2 linked regions of the Rattus norvegicus genome follow. The main gene of each other region encodes a partner of the protein of the gene in region 2 in a complex. Links are inferred from orthologs where the notes say so. Each region holds a gene or a part of one and is shown on either strand. Other genes may lie near its edges. The genes, in order: Klhl2 and Wnk4.

Region 1 (9,875 bases), on a different chromosome or scaffold from region 2:
GGGTTTGACCAGCAATCAATCAGTCTACAAACCATCACCAAGTGCTGGTAGACTATATGGTCTGTAAAGTATCTCTCACACATAGAGAAACACACAGCGAAACACACAGCTAGAGATGACCTTGAACTTCTGATCCTCCTGCTTCCGCTTCCATAAATAGAACGATTAGATTAGAAGCATTTACCACCATGCCTGACTTATATGGCTCTATTGACTGAACAGGCCTCACAAATGCAGGCACACCCTTCTATCAAATAGACTCTTACAGGGGTTTGTCTGTTTTGAGATTGGGTCTTATTTTGTAGCTGAGGCTATCTTGGAACCCTCTATGTAGCTTCAAACTCATTAAAATCTTCCTGCCTCAGCACCCCAAATGCTAGACTGTTGGCATAAGTCATCATGTCTGGTCTGTTAAATTCCTAAAATATTATGTTGGTGCTGGGGATCAAAGCCCTGGTGTTATGTATGTGAGGCAAGCATTCTATATGTGAGGCAAGCATTCTACCACTGCCACTGAGCCAGTCTGCTCCAGCTCTAGGTATTTAAGGGCTTCTTAAATAAGTTTTGGACTGGAATTGCTCAAAGTCTAACAAGAAATGAGATAATTAACAAAAATAAGAACAAAAAAACAAACCAATGGAAATACACAAACTAAGAAAACACCCGTTACATGCAGTATGGATGGCATGATCTTGGGCTTAATAGATACCTGCATTTCTTCTGCACATGTTCATATCTGCGACCTGTCTCCAGGCATTTGTGGTGGGGTCATATACTTCAACACTTTTTCGTACTAAAGGACCATCATGACCTCCTACAGCGTATAATAAGTTGTTTAACACGCCAACACCTAGAAAACACAGTCAAGCGGATTATGGAAGAGCAAGGTAGGCAAGAAACTTGCGAACTTGTGGTGCGGAGCACTGATGCAGGTACCTTGGGATGCAAACCTGAAGTCCTAAGTCTCACTAAGAGGGCACTAACAGGAGGCTCAGCCTGCAGAAATGGAAGGAGATGGACCTCGGTAAGAAGCCCTATCCTGACACGAGAGGAGTCAAGGAGAAGCGACTGATGAGGAGCCCTTTAATAAACTCCTTTCACAAACGTTCTCTAAAGCAGCCTGTGAAGGCATCCGATCGGAAAGGAAGGGCCATGAAAAACCTTCCTCACTGAACAAATGATAAAACACTGTCAGGAAAGCAGAGAAGCTTTGACGCTGTGAAAATGTACAAAAGCACTCCTTCTTACTGCCGCTCAAGCCCACTTAACTGAACCAGGAAAAGTAGCACACATTTCCCAACCCCACATGCAGATGTCCACCAGTCAGCCCACCTCAGATGCTCGCCGGGGCCTCTAGTTACCTGCTCCACTCCGTCTGGTGCTCATTTCTGCTATGTAAGTCCACTCGTTGGCAGTAGCATTATAGCATTCTACTGTGCTAAGACACTGGCGTGAAGCTCCATCGTAACCTCCCACAGCATAGAGCAAACCTAGACGTGGAACCACAAAGAAAGCCAAATAAACAACCTGTTCTCCCCGTCATAAGACATTAGTGTATGCTGCTCTGTGGTAACGGCACCTCCCCTTAATCATTTCTAATTTTCATGATATGCATTAGTCTTGACAACTGCTAGCAGGTGGAATGAGGGAAGGATGTGCTTTCTCTATCTTTCTTATACTTCCATCAATGGTGTGACACTAGAGCAGTGCACTGACTTGAGATAACACCAGCTGATTCATTAACAACGTCTCGGAAAACAGAAATATCAGCTGGGGAAGAGAGTCAGTAGCAGAGGGGCCAGACAGATGGCTGAGCAGTTAAGAGTGCCCCTGTCCTTTAATCCCTAGCACCCACAAGGCAGCTCACAACCATGACACCCTCTTCTGGCATTCATGGGCATATATATGCACACAGTACACAAACCATACATGAAGGCAAAACACTCATATACATTTAAGAAAGAGTCAGTAGCAGAATGTAGTACAGAATGCAATGAAATATCTGAGGAGAAAAAGGCTATGATGTGCTAACACTACATTATGAACGGAGTAGTAATATACATGAGTGACATTAAAAGCATGCGACATGAGACAAGCCAGTCATAAACATGCTATGTGATTTAACTTACATAAAATGTCTAGAAGAGAGGAATTCACAGTGACAGGAAGTATCTAGACTGGGGACTGGGGATTAGAGGGGACAGCTAAGGAAGTAGAAATGGTCTTATTGGGTAACAAAAATGTTCTTAAATGACTTGTGGTGATAGATACATATGGAATCGTTTGAGTCAAATGGGAAGTTTTTATGATATTTCAGTGGTGTTTTATGAAAGGCACTTTAAAGGAGATCTATTTTTATTAATATACGTTTGTGAATGTGGATGCCCACAGAAGCCAGAGGCATTGGAAGCTCCTACAACTGTAGCTACAGGCAGTTGTGAGCAGCCTCCTGTGGATGCTGGGAATCTAACTCCAGTCCTCTGGAAGAACAGTAATCGTCTACTTTTTAAAGTGTACGGAAAGCTGGATCTGGGGGCACACACCTTTAACCCTGGCACTCTGGAGGTAGAAGGCAGGTGGATCTCTGAGTGCAGCCTTGTCTACATGGTGAGTTCCAGGGCAGCCAGCCAGGGCTACACAGTGAGACTCTGTCTTAAAAAAAAGTATGTGTATATACATATATGTATGTATATATAGATATAGATATAGAAATAGAATTTTCCACTAGTGAGGAAGCAACGGAAAAACATAAATTTGTCTAAGCTAGAATTTGAGGGAAAAAAAAATCACACTGAAGAAATAACACACGGGGTTGGGGATTTGGCTCAGTGGTAGAGCGCTTGCCTAGCAAGCACAAGGCCCTGGGTTCGGTCCCCAGCTCCGGAAAAAAAAAAAAAAGAAAGAAATAACACATGGTTTTCCTTCAACTGAGAGCAAAGGGTTAGAAACTAACGTAAAGCCACTAACCACCTCCTGCGTGTTAAAGGGCTCTCGTCCAGATACAAATGTTTGGAAGTTTAATGACCTGAATCGTTTTCCCAACAACTGTCATAAGAACAGGTGAAAAGGTTGGGTGCCACTTAGGGAATAAAGCATGTGTCTAGTATCTGACTTCAATTCCCAGTAGCGTTAAAAAAAGATTGGTTGACAGTCACATAAGTTACGCACAAAGAAGGAGGGAAGAAGAAAACATAGGGAGAGGGAGGGAGGAAGTAGGTGGAAAGGCCTCGCTTATACAGTTTAATTTATATAAATGAGCTCATTGAAAGAAAGAACAATTACAATACATAACCATGCTTTTCTTCTGCCCATTCATAAAACAGTGCCTGGATCTCCCGATGAACCACCCTCTCTACAGCCCAGAGCACCCACAGTGCTCACCGCTGGAGCTCCCAGACCTACCTCCAACAACGCCAACGCCCACACTGCTCCTCCTGGTGTTCATTGGCGCGACATGAAACCACTCATTAGATTTTATGTTGTATGCTTCCACAGATGATAAACCTGTGACAGAGGATAATACCCCTCATTTCCTCTTCCAAAATGACACCATTGTTCTTTTATATAAATACCACTAGGGGAAATAACGTCAGACATTTTACACTGGGCTAAAATTAAAAGAAGAGCAGGAGGGAACGTGCTCGCTCCACGGTGGGAGTGGCTTCTCTACTGAAGCTTCTACTTGGGCTGCTGCCATTTATAAACTTTTTAAACATGGAAGAATGATGGATATTAAGGCATCAGAAACAAAATGTATATCGTCTGCACTGTCACGCCATTTAAAAGCAGTTATTTAGGTGTTTCTATGACCCTACATAAAAGCTATTCATGTGTGTGTGCATCGCTCTGCAGTGCCTCCTCAGGCCAGTAGAGGGTGCTGGGTATCCCAGTGCTGGAGTTGGAGTGGGTTGTGATCTGCTCTGTCTGGGTGCTGGAAATCAAACTCTGGTGCTTTCAAAGAGCAGCAAACACCCTTAACCACATCTATCCATCCTCCACTCATATCTCTTAAAGAAAATTTGAATTTAGGGTTTTAAGACAAGTTCTCACCCTGGAGCCAATGCTACCCTCAAACTTATAATCCTCCTGCCCCCAAATGTCACCTCACTGGTCTCGAAAGAAATTGCCAGTGTCATTTTAGAGCTTCTCTAAAATAACTGCTAAGAACACTAAAGCATGTGCTAACGTCATTATGATTGGCACCATAAATGTGGCTACCGTGTCAGTTACCTATTATAGCAACGCGGGAGAGAGGCAGTTACCTGTGCTGCCGTCAAAGCCCCCCACTGCATACAGCAGCCCGTTCAGCACCGCTGCCCCCAGCGTGCTCCTTCGGTCGCGCATGTTTGCCACGCTGGTCCACTGGTCTTTCACAGGGTCGTAGGAATCTACAGTGCGAACTCTCAGTGAGCCATTGAAGCCACCGACAGCAAAGACCAGCCCCGCCATATACACCATCCCTGCAAAGGAAGAAGTCAATTCAGATGAGCACGCCAGCTACAGTTAGCCTGACCTCAAAGCAGGCACCTACAGTGTTTGTGGGAACACAGAACTCGTAAGAGCTGGGTCAGTCTTGAAAATTTCTCTTCATTTGTAAGAAACAAAATCAGAAGTGCACCATGGGATGTGTACTAGGAATCCACTGCAGCAAAGATTCTTGTAAGATAATAAGATTAATTGTAAGATTAATAAGTTTAATGTCCAATTAAAACTAGTGGGGTAGTTTTCAGTGGTGAAGTGCTCGCCTGCAACTTAAAAACAAAATCTATATGACAAAGGTGCAGAAGGGCAGAGGAGCGGGAGGAGAGAGGCAGCAGGAGGGGAAGGAGAGAGGGAGGGAGGGAGGGGGGGAGGGAGGGAGGGAGGGAAGGAGGGAAGGGAGTGAGAGAGGGAATGCGTATGTGAGAATGTGTGTGTGTGTGTGTGTGTATGATATGTGAGAGTGTATGTGTGTGAAGGGATATGTTGTGAGAGTATGTGTGTGTGTGATGTGTGTGTCTGTGTGTGTGAGTGTGTGTGTGTGTGTGAGAGAGAGAGAGACTGTATATGTATAAGAAAGAGTATGTGAGTGTGTCTGAGAGTGTGTATATTTGAGAATGTGTGTGTGTGAGAGAGTATGTATGTGAGAGTGTATGTATGGAGGGTATGTTGTGAGAGTATGTGTGTGTGTAAGGTTATATGTGTATAAGAGTGTGTGTGTGTGCAAGGCCCTGGGTTCGGTCCCCAGCTCCGAAAAAAAGAACCAAAAAAAAAAAAAAAGAGTGTGTGTGTGTGTGATGTGAGTGTATGCGTGTGTGGGAGAGACTATATGTGTATAAGAAAGAGTACATGTGTGAGTGTGTCTGAGAGTGTGCATATTTGAGAATGTATGTGTGATGATAGAGTATGTATGTGAGAGTGTATGTGTGTGGGGGGGTATGTTGTGAGAGTATGTTGTGTGTGTGAGAGAGACTGTATGTGTGTAAGAGTGTATGTGTGTGTGTGTCTGAGAGTGTATGTATATGAGAGTATGTGTGTGAGACTGTATGTATATGAGTATGTGTGTGTCTAAGAGTGTGTGTATGTGAGAATGTGTGTGTAATGAGAGTGTATGAGAGTGTGTGTGTGTGTATGTTGTGAGAGTATGTGTGTGTGTGTGAGACTGTTTGTGTGTAAGAGTATGTGTGTGTGTCTGAGTGTATGTGTGTGAGAGCGTGTGCACACGGTCACATACACACTCTCTTAGATAACAGGCTCATATCCTAGCCTTCCACTCTTACAGACTGACGTGATTCGGGGTATGCTATTTCATTAAGGTGACAGGAAATCAGGCCGCAAATCACCAGCTCTGCCGGTTTATTCTACAAAATCAGAACAGTGCCTGAAGGTGAGGGCAGGGCAGCAGCCAGGTGTAATGGATGACATAGGTAATCCTAGCACTTGGGAGGCAGAGGCAGACGGAACAGGAAATTCAAGGCCAGCCTGGGCCATAGAGACACAGAGACTCTGTCTTCAAAAAAATAAAATAAAATAAAAACGAAAAGAGCTGCTATCCTTTCCACAGAACGGGCTCAGTTAGGTTTCTAAACAACATCCTTCTCTTCCTTTTTCTTTTTCTTTAAAGAGGGTCTCGGCTGGCCTTGAGCTCCCCATCCTCCTGCCTCCACCTCTGGGGAGCTGGCATTGAAAGCACAGACTACGCCTGGTTTTCTAATAGACGTGTTTCCTACTGACGAGTAAGACCCAGCAACAGAGCTGGCTGGAAAACCCCACGCTCACCTGCCCTGCACCTCCTGGACGGCAACTCTGCCACCTGGTGCCATCGCTCCTCTTTGAAGTCGTAGCATTCCACACTTCGGATGGCCTTTGGTGCCTGGCCCCCGACCACCACCATCAACTACAAGGGAACAAATGTAAGTGCTTGAACCAATGATATCGCCTACTCAAGAGACTGACCGTATCCTACACAGACAGGAGACATGCTGGAAGGAAATGCCTGCCCAACCAACACGTCAGTGACGCCAGCAAGGGGCACAGGTTAGAACAGCAATTCTATCACCTAGCACATTTGGTTTAAAAATGTGGCTTTTCAGAAATGTAAAAAGGCTTCTGGCCACTCAAGCAAAAGCAGTACTTAAGGCAAAACAGTAGGGAGCCAACACTGGTAGGGCTATAGAGTGTCATGGAGCTTGCTGTCAACCAGATCCTGCTTCAGCAGTGATCAGAGGCTGCCAGGGCGTAGGAAACAGAAGTACAGCGTTGTACCAGGTAGTGAGTAAAAGGTCAGGAGAGGATTCATAGATGGAGAAATCATTTTAAATTGAGGTCATGAGTAGATGAGAATATAGAATCATGGACCTTAAGGAAAGAGGCCCCTCTTGAGGCTCCATAAATAAGCCATCGCCAGAACAGAATGGAGACATCAAGCTCCTAATGACCACACAAGCATCGGTCTACTGCTGGCAACAGATGGAGGCTGAGGAGCAGCCACGGGCCACCCTGACCGCTGATTAACGAGTACGCTAGGGACTACACAGGACACCTTTCTACTCACCAAGAGCCTATAAACCTCACCGAGGAACCAACTCCCAGAATGCAATACAAGACCAGTATGCAATTATATGCAGTCGAATACCTGTATGACAGTAACTGCTAACGGGACCAGAAAAGGGGGAGTGACCATAATTCAGCGAAAGCTTCCTAAGGAGCTGGAGCGAAGGGCTTGTAAGACGGACAGGACCTAGAAACTCCTGTGCTAGTCTTTTACCATACACATGGGCACTTCCTGGCAATGGGGAGTAAGAATGGCAACGTCAGCATGATGTTGTGGTTAATGAGGTCTTGAATGGAAAACTGTAAAGAATGGGCAGGGCTTTGAGGGGAGGATGAGACCATGACAAGGGAAATGAATACTGAGAATAAAAACTCATGACAAACCCAATGTGCAGATGCTCACACCCGTGTGTGGGCTGTGGTCCTGGAGTACTTCAATCTAAAGGAAGGTGTGCATGGAGTCTCAGAGTTACTGTGTAAAGCCGAAACCCTTAGGCATGTTAAGGCTTAGCGTAGACCAATGGCGTGAATATTTCAGCCTATTCCTCTAGTTCTGACTCCAAACAAATATAAAGGACTAAAGAAAAATCATTCCACACTATTACGAAAAGGTCAGTATGAGAAGGACTGTACAATCAGTCTTGCACGGTCACATCAAGCTCAGCCCTGTGCATACAGATCTGTGCTCACACCTCAAAGTTCGGTCTGACAGTGACACAGTGTAGAAAGGGTCTGCAATGATGTATCCAGTGAAGATCAATTCAAGCATCAGACCTCAGAACTGAATGTAGATACCCTAAAGACCGTGTTCTTAACGTTAATTAGACGTGCATATGTGTGTATAATTGTGGGTTTGTGCACGTTGAGTACGGTATCTGCAGAAGACAAAGGATAGGAGTCCTGGGAAGCAAACTCAGGTCCTCTGTAAGTGCAGTGCACACTCTTGAGCACCGAGCCATCTGTCCAGCCCCAGAGTAGTTTAAAATCCTCAGCCGGCACCTCTGAAGTGAGGACAGAGGAGAAAGCATGTCACCACAGAGGACAGGGTAGTACCTTCACTTTACTTCTCCGAGAAAGACAAAGTGGGATAGAAACACGTATTCCAACAGAGTACATGCAGGAAGGATGCACGGGAGGCATGGGAGCAGGGAGACAGTGGAACACACGGAGAAACAAGAGTGTGGCAATCAGCAAAGGGGTTGTCATATCATAGACTGCCATGACTGATTTGTGGAGAAAAATGAATGGTAACATTAGGGGACGCCAAGAGGAAAAAAGAGAAGTAAATTTATCCTAAATGCAGGTTGCTTACTTTCTGCACCCAGAAATACATCAATATTTATTTCCCAAAAGGGAGGAGTTAGCAGAGATAACAAAGCACAGCAGCAGAACATACACAGTGGGCTGGGGAGATGGCTCAGTGATTACGAGTACACACTGCTGTACTCCAGTCCCCTGCACCCAGGCTGCGTGGCTCACACGTGCTTGTGCCTCCCGCTCCACAGAATCCTTTTCCTCCTCTGGATTTCCTACATGCACATTCATATTCGTACACACAGACACATAAATAAAGATAAAAAATAAACTTAAAGGGCAGGAGAGATGGCTCAGTGGTTAAGAGCAATGTCTGCTCTCCTAGAGGTCCTGAGTTTAATTCCCAGCAACCACAGGGTGGCTCCCAACCATCTGTAATAGGATCCGATGCCCTCTTCTGGTGTGTATGAAGACAGCTACAGTATACTCATATACATAAAATAAATCTTTTTAAAAAAACTACAAAGTGTAGAGTTTCCTGTTATGAAATCCGAATGTAAAGATGCCTTACCTCGCAGAATCTCTGCATAGTTTCCCCAGAATACAAAAGTCATGCGTGAGACGAGAAAGCCCATGTGCGTGAGTGCAGTCGGGGACATAAGTCGGGGACTATGAGATACACGTGTACACAACTTTAATCCCACTTCCTTCTGACCTACTTCCCTAGAATAAATCCTGAACACAGCCACTGCCTAATGATAAATGGTATCAGGAAAACTTTCTATTCAAGACCCTTTCTAAACCGTGCGCACAAGCCAATGTCCGAGAAGGGGTGGACATACTCAAAGCTGTGCTGCTGTTTGAACGGTTGGCCACGTTAGGGACTCTTCCAAAACAAGGGATCCCAAGGAAGCTAAATACCAGAGAACCTCATGAATCCATGCACCGCATACCACAAGCAGGAGCTGAAGCCTGGAAAACTCTGGAAGTATGTAACGGTGGAAAAGGTAGGCCATACCAGAGAGGCCCAGGGGACAGCGCAACTCAATAGATGGCTTATACCTTACAAAGAAAATGAAACACTCGGCAGGATTTTACCAAGAGTTCCTTGGCTCTTTGAATTGCCATGTTTAGCCTGGAAATTAGGTGAAATGAGGTTGAATTCATCTTTAATCAAAAAGCCTCTCTGCAGTGTAGCTAGAAATGCCAGAAAACAGAGCAGGAGCTAAGAAGGCTTTTATTTTTCCTCTCACAGACATGAAACGTTTATGACGTATTTAAGTTAAGTGGTGAGGTGGCTCAGCAAGGAGAGGTGCCTCCCACCACTCGATGAGAAGTTCAACATCCAGGGCCCGCCCACACGGGGAGGAGAGAATGCACTCAAGTTACATGTGCACACACAAGTGCACACACCTACACATGCACACACAGAGAGACATACATACATGCAGACACACACACGCACAGACACACACACAGACACACACAGACACACACAGACACACAGACACACAGACACACACACACACACACACACACACACACACACACACACACACACACACTTTAGGCTGGAAAGGTAGCTCACT
Region 2 (9,875 bases):
CAACCATCTGTAATGGGATCCGAAGCCCTCTGGTGTGTCTGAAGACAGCGACAGTGTACTCATACATAAAATAAAAAGCTAATTTAAAAAAAATCTAAAAAAAACAAACGAACACCCAAACATCAACAACAAAAAAACCCATTCTCATCATGTCCCTCTCTGCCTAACTTCCTTTGTTTGCTTCACAGAGTCTCATGTATGTAGCCTGGGTTGACCCTGAACTGCTGTGCAGCCCAGGATGACCCCAATCATTGATCTTCCAGCTAACTCCTCCCAAGAGCTCAGATTGCAGGCATGCACTGCCCACAGCTGCCCTTCTTTAGCTCTTATGATATGTGCTGAGTTCCGCTTCCCAGGACACTCCTGTAGGATCCCCTTTCTCCAGGGACAGTGGTCTCTTCACGAAGTCAGCACTAATGGCTTTACTCATGCCCTGCTTCCAAAAGGACATGCCGCCGCCCCGCCCCCGCGCCGCCCCCCGCGCTTCCCGGCCACTGCTACTCATCTGCTCGGCCTGGGTAAATCCCACTCCTTCCACCCTGCTCCAGTCCGTCCTTTACTTCCAGTCACCTTCTCTAGCAGGAAGTCACATCACTCTTATCTTCCTAGTCCATATTGATATCAGAGTGCTCTGACTGGATACACAGAAATCTCCCCCGCACAAAGGCCAAAGCATCTTCACAGTTGCCCTGCCAACCAGGGTTTATACGCCCTCATTGCAGGGTCGGGCTATGAATCCAAACGCTCGGTCCTCATCTCTCTCCCCCTCACCATGGCAGCTGCGATTTCTTCTGGGCTGTCCCCATCCAGATCAAATCGGAACGTCACCATCTTGCTGTTGTGAGTTTGCAGCTGGCACTCCACGACTCTGTCGCTCTGGTCTGAGACCTTTCAGATTCAAAGTCAGCAGAAGGGAAGAAGTCAATGCCTCTGCCTCGGCCATGTGTTTCCACCCTGCTAGAGGCTGGCCAGGGTGGAGAACGGATTCTAGGCCCAGAGTCTGGCATTGAAACTAGACTAGATGCCTCAAAGCATCACCAGTCACAACTCCGCTTTTCTGCCCTGCCCCACCCCCATCTCCCTGGCAGTCCCCTACTGGTCCTGTGGGTTATTCTCCAGCTCCTGGGTCCTCCTTACACTCGTGACCCGAAGCCGGGATCGAGGTCTCCGTCGCAGAGTCTTCACTGGATTTTTCCTCATTTGCCCCCCTTCTCCCATGTCACTGAGGCCTGAGGCTGCATCTGAGGCGTAGCTGGACAGGGAAAGGGAGACAGAGGGTTTAAGTAGATAAACCCAGAACATTCTGTGTCTCACCCTGCCATCTGACTGAAACCAGAACATACCTGTCCCCAGGAGAAAAGTCACTGCCAGGGCCAGACCGTGGAATGGACAAGGCAAAACCCTGGAAGATGATAGAATTCATAAGGTCAGGGGATAATAGCTGCTGATGGTGGTGGAGACCCGGGGGAAATGGTGTCAGGATGTGGGGAGAACACTAGGGAAACAGAATTGGAGACATAAGGACAAGAATGGTGTGTTTCAGGAACCCAGGGAACGGGGTAGGGGGTTGGGAGTCAGGAGAGAGGGACAGGTCATGGGCTTTGAATGGCTGGAAGGCTCTGGGGTGACCCCCTCTCACCGAGGGCAAGCAGAGATGGGGCTCAGCGGGGCTGGATGGCATCCCCCCGGGGGGCTGAAGGGCAGGGTCTGAGGCATCCAGGAAGCCGGAGGAGCTGAGGTAGCCATCAGTCTCGCAATCAGCTGGTAGGGGAGGGAGTGGATCAAAAAAATAAGAAAAATAATAAAGGACTGTGGTGGGAGGGGAGGGGGACCTGTCTGAGCAAAGAGGGGCCTGGAGCCAGGAGGGAATTGTGGGAGTGTTTGTCCCCAAAGGAAGGTACGTGGCTCGAGTTAGAAAGCTGGGTTGGGCTGGACTTCTGGGACCTAGAACTCAAAGTTGGGGTGACTTACATGTAGTGGATGAGTAGCTGGCATGGCGGAAGAGGAAGGATTGGTGCTGGTCAGCCTCTGGCTCCTCGGGCTCTGGGGGGAAGGCACTGGGGGGACCAGGAGTCATAGACACAGTTGCTGGAGGAGGTCCTGAGTCTGGTGGGAGAACCTCCAATTCCCTGGCTTTTCTTAGCTTCTCCCGCTTCCGCTGGATGGCAGCAACCCGTTCTCGAACTGCACGGGCCACTGGCTGGTAGTCTGCTTCGCAGACTAAGCCCAAGGCTACCTGGAGTCAGGATATTTAGGGAGATGGTTTTAAATTTTTTAATTTCCCCCAAAGACTGAGCAGGGACGTGGGAGCTGTCTAAGTTAGTATGATGTTTGCTGCATTAGGCATAAAGCACGAGTCTGTCCCCAATACTCGCATAAAGCTTCAGGTATGCACGCCTGAAACCCCAGTGCTGGGGAGGCAGAGAAAGGCAGAGTCCCAGAGCTTGCTGGCCAGTCAGTCTAGCCTTAGCAAGCCCCAGATTCCAGTAAGAAACCCTGTTTGGCCATTAATCCCAGAACTCTGGAGGCACAGGCAGGCAGTCTCTGAGTTCTAGGCCAGCCAGGACTACAGAGAAACCCTATCTCAAAAAACAAGGTTGCTCCTTCCAGAGACATGACACCCAAAGTTAACTTCTGGCTTCAACATACATATACTTACACATCTGTACGTGGAGAGAGAGAGAGAGAGAGAGAGAGAGAGAGAGAGAGAGAGAGAGAGAGAGAGAGGGGAAGAGGGGGTGAGGGGGTGGATAGATTCATCTGGACACCTTTAACTGACTTTACAAATATGCACACACACATCCATACTTGGGGAGTTATCTATCAGGACACCTTTTTGAGGCCTCTAGGAATAAGGAGGGAACTATTTTTTTAAAAGAGTTATTCATTTATTATATATAAGTAAACTGTACCTGTCTTTAGACACAAGAGGGCATCAGATCTCATTACAGATGGTTATGAGCCACCACGTGGTTGCTGGGATTTGAACTCAGGACCTCTGGAAGAGCAGTCAGTACTCTTACCCTCTAAACCATCTCTCCAGCCCAGGAGGGAACTACTTATTGATTAATGACCATGTGTGTTAACTGAATTCATCATCATCCTTAAGTCTTCTCAATAACATTATGAGATAAACTTTGCCATTGTTGTTTTGGATATAATACTGCAATCAGAAAGACCTGATTTCCAGCCTCCAGTACCCATGCAAAAGCATGTGTACACATGCATTCATGTGCATACCCACATGCATAAAAGGTACATCACACACACAGGAATCCCTTGCTCCCTCACAGATAATAGATCAAGACTTGATCTTGAAGGCAGCAAAATATCTCTGTGTTTAAAGGTGCCTACCATCAAGCCTAATGGCTTGAGTTTAACCCCCAGGACCCACATGATGGCAGGAGAGAACTGACTCCCACTAGTTGTCCTCTGACTTCTACACGCATGCTGTGGCACATGTGACCCCACATATACATGCACAGTCACACACAACATAAACAAGATGTCACTCTTAAAGGACTGAATCTTGAGTTGAGCTGGGCAGTGCTCTGGAGATTGCTTTTGTGCCAAAGGGTCTCACTGTGTATGCCTGGATGGCCTGGAGCTCACTGGCTGGATTCATAAGTGATTCATTTACCTCTGCTTCCTGGGATTTAAAAAAAAAAAAAAAAAAGTGCCCCAGGGCTGGAGAGATGGCTCAGTGGTATTAAGAACACTGACTGGGGGGTTGGGGATTTAGCTCAGTGGTAGAGCGCTTGCCTAGGAAGCGCAAGGCCCTGGATTCGGTCCCCAGCTCCGAAAAAAAGAACCAAAAAAAAAAAAAAAAAAAAAACACTGACTGGGCAGAGTTTGTGATTCGGACGAAGAAGATTGAAGTCATGGCTGGTCCAGAAAGTGATGGCCAATTCCAGTTCACTGGTATTAAAAAATATTTCAACTCTTATACCCTCACAGGTAGAATGAATTGTGTCCTGGCCACATATGGAGGCATTGCTTTGTTGGTCCTATACTTTAAGTTAAGGCCTAAAAAAACCCCAGCTGTGAAAGCAACATAAATGGATTTTGAAATGTCTGGCCTCATCTGTTAAGTCCCATGCCTGAAGAAGCTGATGTGAACTCATCATGTAATACTCAATTTGTACAATAAATTATGAACCTGAAAAAAAAAAAAAAAAAAGGAACACTGACTGTTCTTCCAGAGGTCCTGAGTTCAATTCCCAGCAACCACATGGTGGCTCACAACCATCTGTAATGGGATCCAATGCCCTCTTCTAGTGTGTCTGAAGACAGCTATGGTGTACTTATATACATAAAATAAATAAGTAAATCTTTTTTTTAAAAAAAGAGCCCCACTAAGCCAGCATGGTCTCAGCTTCTTGACTCATCACAGATGACCCTTGACCTTGAAACTGCCATTTCTCTATTGAGAATCCCATATTCTCACCCTCTGCCCATTCAGGTTCTCCTCACAAGCTTTCAAGGTTGTGCTCTGGCATCTTCTATCTCCACAGTACTTTCTCTTCCACGGATCTCTGCTCCTCACCTCCCCCTCTCCTATTCAAATCAATTTAGCCGTGGGCTTTGCCGGGTGAGTAAAAGAAATGTGGTAGGGCCAACTGATTTCAAATCTGAACAGCTTGAGATTACATCCCTCTTTGTCATTTGTTTTCTTGGGACTCTAGACAAGACAGTCACTCTCTCTAAGCATGCATTCCATAGCCCTCCAAAGAAGGTCACGTGAAAAATGCTTTCTTTTTTAAGCCACATATAATGTTAAGAAGCATCTGCTAATTGCCAAACAGTAAAGGACCGAGGGGAAAAAAAAATCAATAAAATACTGTCTGGCCACAGATAGTTTCTAGTCTAGCAGAGGAGTGAGATGGGAAATGTATTCAGGTATAAAACAAAGCCCAAGGTTTGAGGTGGTTTCGAGCCCCCCCCCCCCGCCCGCCCCCAGATTTGAAAAGAAGCATTCAGCGTTTACACAGGAGGAGTGAGCGTCCTGGAACGGATGGTGCTAAGCATAGAGACAAAGAAGGGGGAGAGGGAAAAATAAATAGATAAGTTGCCAAGAAGGGCATTCCCGTGATAAATGAAAAAATGAATCTGCGTGCAAAGAAGTGACGTTAGGGTTTCCCGGATTTGTTCTGGGGGAGAACCCTGGCGTGCGCTGGTGGATTAGGGCAGAAGAGGCGGAGAGACCCCTGTTGGAGCTGCAGCTCTGAGTAGGAGCCTCCGCTCGCTACTCTAGCGCTGCACCTTGACCCCTCCTGTTGACTGATGGCAGGCTGGCTGAACCCTTTACACACTCCACCCAAGTAGGATTATCTATACTCTCCTCACCATCTCCTGAGCCACCTCTTCCGCTGCATCCCGACCGAGCTGGAACAGGAACTCGATGGCCTGGTTGTCCCTTGGGCGCCCCCCGCGTCGTGCGTCCTCCATGCGCAGCCAGAGTTTGAGACCCGGCTTCTCTCCATCATCTTCCTCTGCCAGCTCCACATGCACACCACGTTCCTCGCGGAAGAACGCGTGGGTCAGAAGATCCTGGATAGTGAACCTGGGGACCGTGGGGGCAGTGAGCGGAGCCCGCTGCCACTGCCCGGTCATCTTCATCCCGTCTCTGTCCCGGACCCCACCTCTCATTCTTATCCGTGCGGATGCAGCCTTCAATGATCTCCTTCACCTCTGGCATCTTCACTTTGTAGAAGCTGTTGGGCTTTGTGCCCTGAGAGAAGGGATCTCATGAGCCCCCCCCCGCCCCCGTTGCCCACGCCCGCCTCGCTCAGCAAGTCTGCAGTGCAGGCAGGCGCCCAGGCTCAGGTTGGGGGAAGATACTGGTACGGAAAGACTTGATTTCAGATCCCATTCCCCCACCTATGTTGGTGTGACCTTGCCTGAGGGTAGAAAGTTTGCCTGGCTCTTCTAGTAGGGCAACTAGAAAGATCTACTGAGACTGGATGTGAAGTTGTCTGTAAGCATACACATCTTCTTACCAGCTTGTGTGAAGGGTTTATGTACATACAATATATGTCTGTTTCTCCAGGGCATCTTTTTGTCTGGCCTGGCTTTATTAAGGATAAATGTTTGTGTGTGTGTGTGTGTGTGTGTGTGTGTTACATATACACACACATATATAATTTGATACATGTATAATATATACCCTTCACATATGTTAATATAATGTATGCTAATGTTATGTATTAGCAGGCTAGTTAGAGGGTAGAAGAATGGGAGGGCCACTGGGGATCCCTTCTTCCCCAAACCCCACCCTTCTCACCGAAGTGACCTTTCGGTAGATTTGTGCTGCGTTCTGACACTCAGAGTAGGGATACTCAGACGTAGCCATCTCCAGCATGCACATGCCAAAGGCGTACACATCCACAGCCTCGTCGTACTTTTCCTCATACATCTCAGGGGCCATGAATTCCGGGGTCCCTATTGGACCCACAGAAAGGATCAGGCTTCTTTCTCCTGGTCTCCTCCCTCCACTTAGGTATATCGCACAGGGGGGGGGGGGGTTGGGGGTAGCTTTAATAGCCCAAGAGCAACCCCAGGAGTTCTGGAGTGCTGGTGACCAACTCTTGCCCAAAGCCTGTGCTGGGGGCAGGAAAAATGGGTCGCCCTAGTACGCTATCTCTCCAAAGCCCTGATGGAGTGGAGTGAGGGGTCCCGTGCTCTTTTCTGATGCAAAGGAGCTAACAATGGCCAGGGTCCTGCTGGAGAGACACACCAATGACGCTCTTGGCAAAGGAGGCGCGCTTGAGCGTGGCCAGTCCGAGATCTCCGATTTTGACAGAGCCTGAAGGGCCGGTAATGAAGACATTGTCACATTTGAGATCTCGGTGCAGGATGGGGGGCACTCGGGAATGTAAGAAATGAAGTCCCCGTAGGATCTGGCGACTCCAGCGCTGAAGGACTCGGGGCTTCATTTCTCGGAATCTCCTCAGGTACCTGGGAGAGGGTGTATAACCGTGGTCAGGGCGGGGATATCTATTCCAGGCTGGAAAATTCCTTATCCCACCCTTGCCAACACCTCCGCTGTCCCCAGCCAGCATTATTTTAATTTAGACTGGTCTGGGTGGGAAAGAAACTGAGTCAATGAGTGAGGTAAACAGGTTACAAAAAAAGTTCTGATGGTAACTTCGAAGATAGGGCCCGTGCCCCGGAGCACCGGAAGGGATGACTAACAGTCCAAGGGTTGGGAAGGAATAACTTTTGTCTTGAAAAAATATAAATTCAAGGGTGAAAATGGGGAGGGATGGAGATTTCCCAGGCTGGAGAGCCACAGGAGTGACAGTTCAGAATGGGAGGGATCACAGAATTGGGGTTGTTTGTAACTTCAGCTCAAGAAGAGAGTGTCTGAGGGAGTGAATGCACTTTACCCCCAGGGGAGTGGGAAATCCTGAAGGGGTTTAAAAGAGCAAGTCAAAGGGTCAGGCTTCCCCTGGGTTGCAGGAAGATAGGATAACTTGAAGGGAGGGCAGATTGGGAAAGGCTCTTTAGGAGGGCTTCTGGGAGTTGGGAGGGGTCAGTGGTATAGCAGCAAGGTAGAGGAAAAGATGGGGGGGTGCAGTGGGAGGATGTTAAACAAAGACTTAAGTGACCCCACTGTTGAGAAAGAAGGTACATTGCAGTAAAGATACCTAAAGTTTTGACTGGTATGCTTGGTGTACACTGGCATTCACACAGTCTAGTAAGTGGGAGAGAGCCTGGTTTCAAGTGTGGAAGTTTGAAGTGACTGGGAGAAGTTCCCAGAGCCTTGGAGTGACGGGTGACATTCCACCCCTCCCCTCCCACCCAGGCCAGAGCTCACGTCTTGAGCGTGCCCGAGGTCATGAGTTCTGTGACCAGCACGATGCAAACCTGACCCCTCAGCACCGACTTCCAGGAGTCATAGAAGCGGACGATGTTGGGGTGCTGCAGCCCCTTGAGCATCTCAACTTCCTCAGAGAAACGCTGCCGTTCAGCCCGAGAGAGTTTCCGAGTCTGTGGGATGGGGGTGACGGAGGGTCACATCAGATCCAGATCAACCCCCCCCAAGAAGGACATGGGACATCTAGGGTATGGTGGGGGGAGAAATGAGGGAGGGTATAGTTGGCGAGATCTCTAGCAGAAGGGCTGTAGACCCCCAACTTTTGGTTGATCCCTTCTTATTGCTCCAAAACACACCCACCCTGGGCCTGGGGCAGCACTCCGGACCCCCTGCTGGACACAAGCGCCTTTATGCAACCAGGTCTGGGAGCTATGCACTCAATAGCGCCTTTGTGGCCGCCAGAGCCGACCGTGGAAGGGGTGGGGTGGGGTGAAGGGGGGGTGGCAGACGGCAGGCAGCAGGCAGCAGGCAGAAGGCAGACCACGGGCAGGGAATTGGGGCCGACAAGGGGTTGGCCTTAAAAACTAGGAACTGCAGAATCTAGACAGAGTCCGAGGAAGGTACCAAGAAAGAAAAGATCCAGGGCCAGGAGACCACCCCCCCATGGCAGGAGCTGCCCTACCCCTCTTTTCTCCCTCTCCCTCTCCCTCCCCTGAGTCTGGCTGATTCTCCTGGCCTGGCTTAGAGCCTGGGGTGCGGCACTAGCAGTGACTAGCGGAGAGCCCTATGCCAGGACCAAAGTGGAAGGACCCTTCCTCCTGGTTTTATACCCTAAAAATTTCCGGGACCACTCACACATAACAGTGGGAGACACGGGAGGAAGAAACTGCCAATCAACATCCTCCTGAAGTCCAAAGGTTGCAAGAGCTCAGCTCCTTTGGCAATGGAAAAGGAGATTCCAGGTATGCATAGGGATGAGAAACTGAACTGGACTCCAGCTAGAACTAGAGCTTCCTGTCCCACTCCTTGAGGCTGTTAAGAAGTCTGTAAAACCAACAACTCCAGAAACGGCCTGGAGAACCCCCTTCTGGAGGTGGAGAGGGCCTTGTCCTCAGCTCCTGAACTCCCACATATTATTTCTAAGTTTGTAAAGAGGTAGGAGGAGGAGAAGGAGAAGGAGGAGGAGGAGGAGGAGGAGAAGGAGGAGGAGGAGGAGGAGGAGGAGGAGGAGGAGGAGGAGGAGGAGGAGGAGGAGGAGGAGGAGGAGGAGGACCAGAGACACAGCAGAAGGTTTCAGGACTTGGAGGAGCAAGAGAGGAAGGGGCAGTGATACCCCAGGCAGGAGACTGGAGTGCTACCCGCTGCAACTCAGTTTTCCAACCCTCAGATTTGTAAGAAGGTTTGAAAGTGAAGTTGTCTATGCTCATTGGGAGCCACTGTATACCATCTGCCTCAGTTTCTCCTGAAACCACCCAGAGTCAGTAAAACCATGCCGGCAAGGAAAGCAAGAGTGCCTGGACATCTGACAAAAAAGTGATCCTTCCTTTGATGCTGTCCTCCCTGTTTCCCCAACCTAAGACCACCAAAGGGGCCCATCCCACCTAGGGGGTGCCCAGGCACACCTGCAGCTCACACCAGGCCACCTCTACCGTGGTGTCGGTGTCTAGCCCTCGATACACGGTCTTGAAGGAACCTCTTCCAATCTCAATGTCAAACTTGAGGTATCGGCCGTCGGGAGACGTTGCCACAGCCTGGGTCTCTGTGTCCTCTTTTTCTTCCTGCTCCCGCCGCCGTTCCCGGGCTGCAGCATCAGGAACCCTTGGTGGCTCCCGGGACCCCGGACCTCCGGAAGATACTGTAAGCTCAGGACAGGCAGAGTCTGCAGCCTTCACCGGGGCTGCCCCCGTCCATGTGCCCTCGGGGTGTTCTTTAGAGTTTGAAGGTGGGCTCCTCATGGGACCAGCGGAGTCCGGAGGATCAGGAGGTTCCGGAAGGAGTGAGGCTGGTTGAGACCAGGAGCTCAACAGTCCCAGATCGACTGAGCTGCGGCGGCTCG

Evidence for each region.
Region 1: the proteins of Wnk4 (region 2) and Klhl2 are in contact, whole or in part, in a crystal structure (PDB 4CHB), measured with the Homo sapiens proteins. The link is inferred for Rattus norvegicus from reciprocal best matches to the Homo sapiens genes WNK4 and KLHL2. Residues at the interface, in NP_115763.2 of Homo sapiens: Glu557, Pro558, Glu559, Glu560, Pro561, Glu562, Ala563, Asp564, Gln565; in NP_009177.3 of Homo sapiens: Arg345, Phe361, Gly363, Ser364, Leu365, Arg366, Thr392, Phe408, Gly410, Ser411, Thr412, Gly413, Ser438, Ser439, Tyr455, Ser487, His504, Arg534, Tyr583.

What each region holds. Positions count from the first base shown.
Region 1 is NC_086034.1:29,722,307-29,732,181, reverse strand, and holds part of Klhl2 (kelch-like protein 2), read right to left. Parts: intron 6,377-9,875; coding exon 6,259-6,376; intron 4,461-6,258; coding exon 4,263-4,460; intron 3,505-4,262; coding exon 3,403-3,504; intron 1,491-3,402; coding exon 1,362-1,490; intron 851-1,361; coding exon 710-850; intron 1-709. UniProt on the Homo sapiens protein: Substrate-specific adapter of a BCR (BTB-CUL3-RBX1) E3 ubiquitin ligase complex that mediates the ubiquitination of target proteins, such as NPTXR, WNK1, WNK3 and WNK4, leading most often to their proteasomal degradation.
Region 2 is NC_086028.1:86,703,159-86,713,033, reverse strand, and holds part of Wnk4 (serine/threonine-protein kinase WNK4), read right to left. Parts: coding exon 9,442-9,875; intron 8,755-9,441; exon of another isoform or gene 8,720-8,754; coding exon of another isoform or gene 8,675-8,719; intron 7,993-8,674; coding exon 7,820-7,992; intron 6,958-7,819; coding exon 6,737-6,957; intron 6,442-6,736; coding exon 6,284-6,441; intron 5,732-6,283; coding exon 5,643-5,731; intron 5,564-5,642; coding exon 5,347-5,563; intron 2,237-5,346; coding exon 1,972-2,236; intron 1,762-1,971; coding exon 1,640-1,761; intron 1,403-1,639; coding exon 1,344-1,402; intron 1,253-1,343; coding exon 1,138-1,252; exon of another isoform or gene 1,136-1,137; intron 889-1,135; coding exon 772-888; intron 1-771. UniProt on the Homo sapiens protein: Serine/threonine-protein kinase component of the WNK4-SPAK/OSR1 kinase cascade, which acts as a key regulator of ion transport in the distal nephron and blood pressure.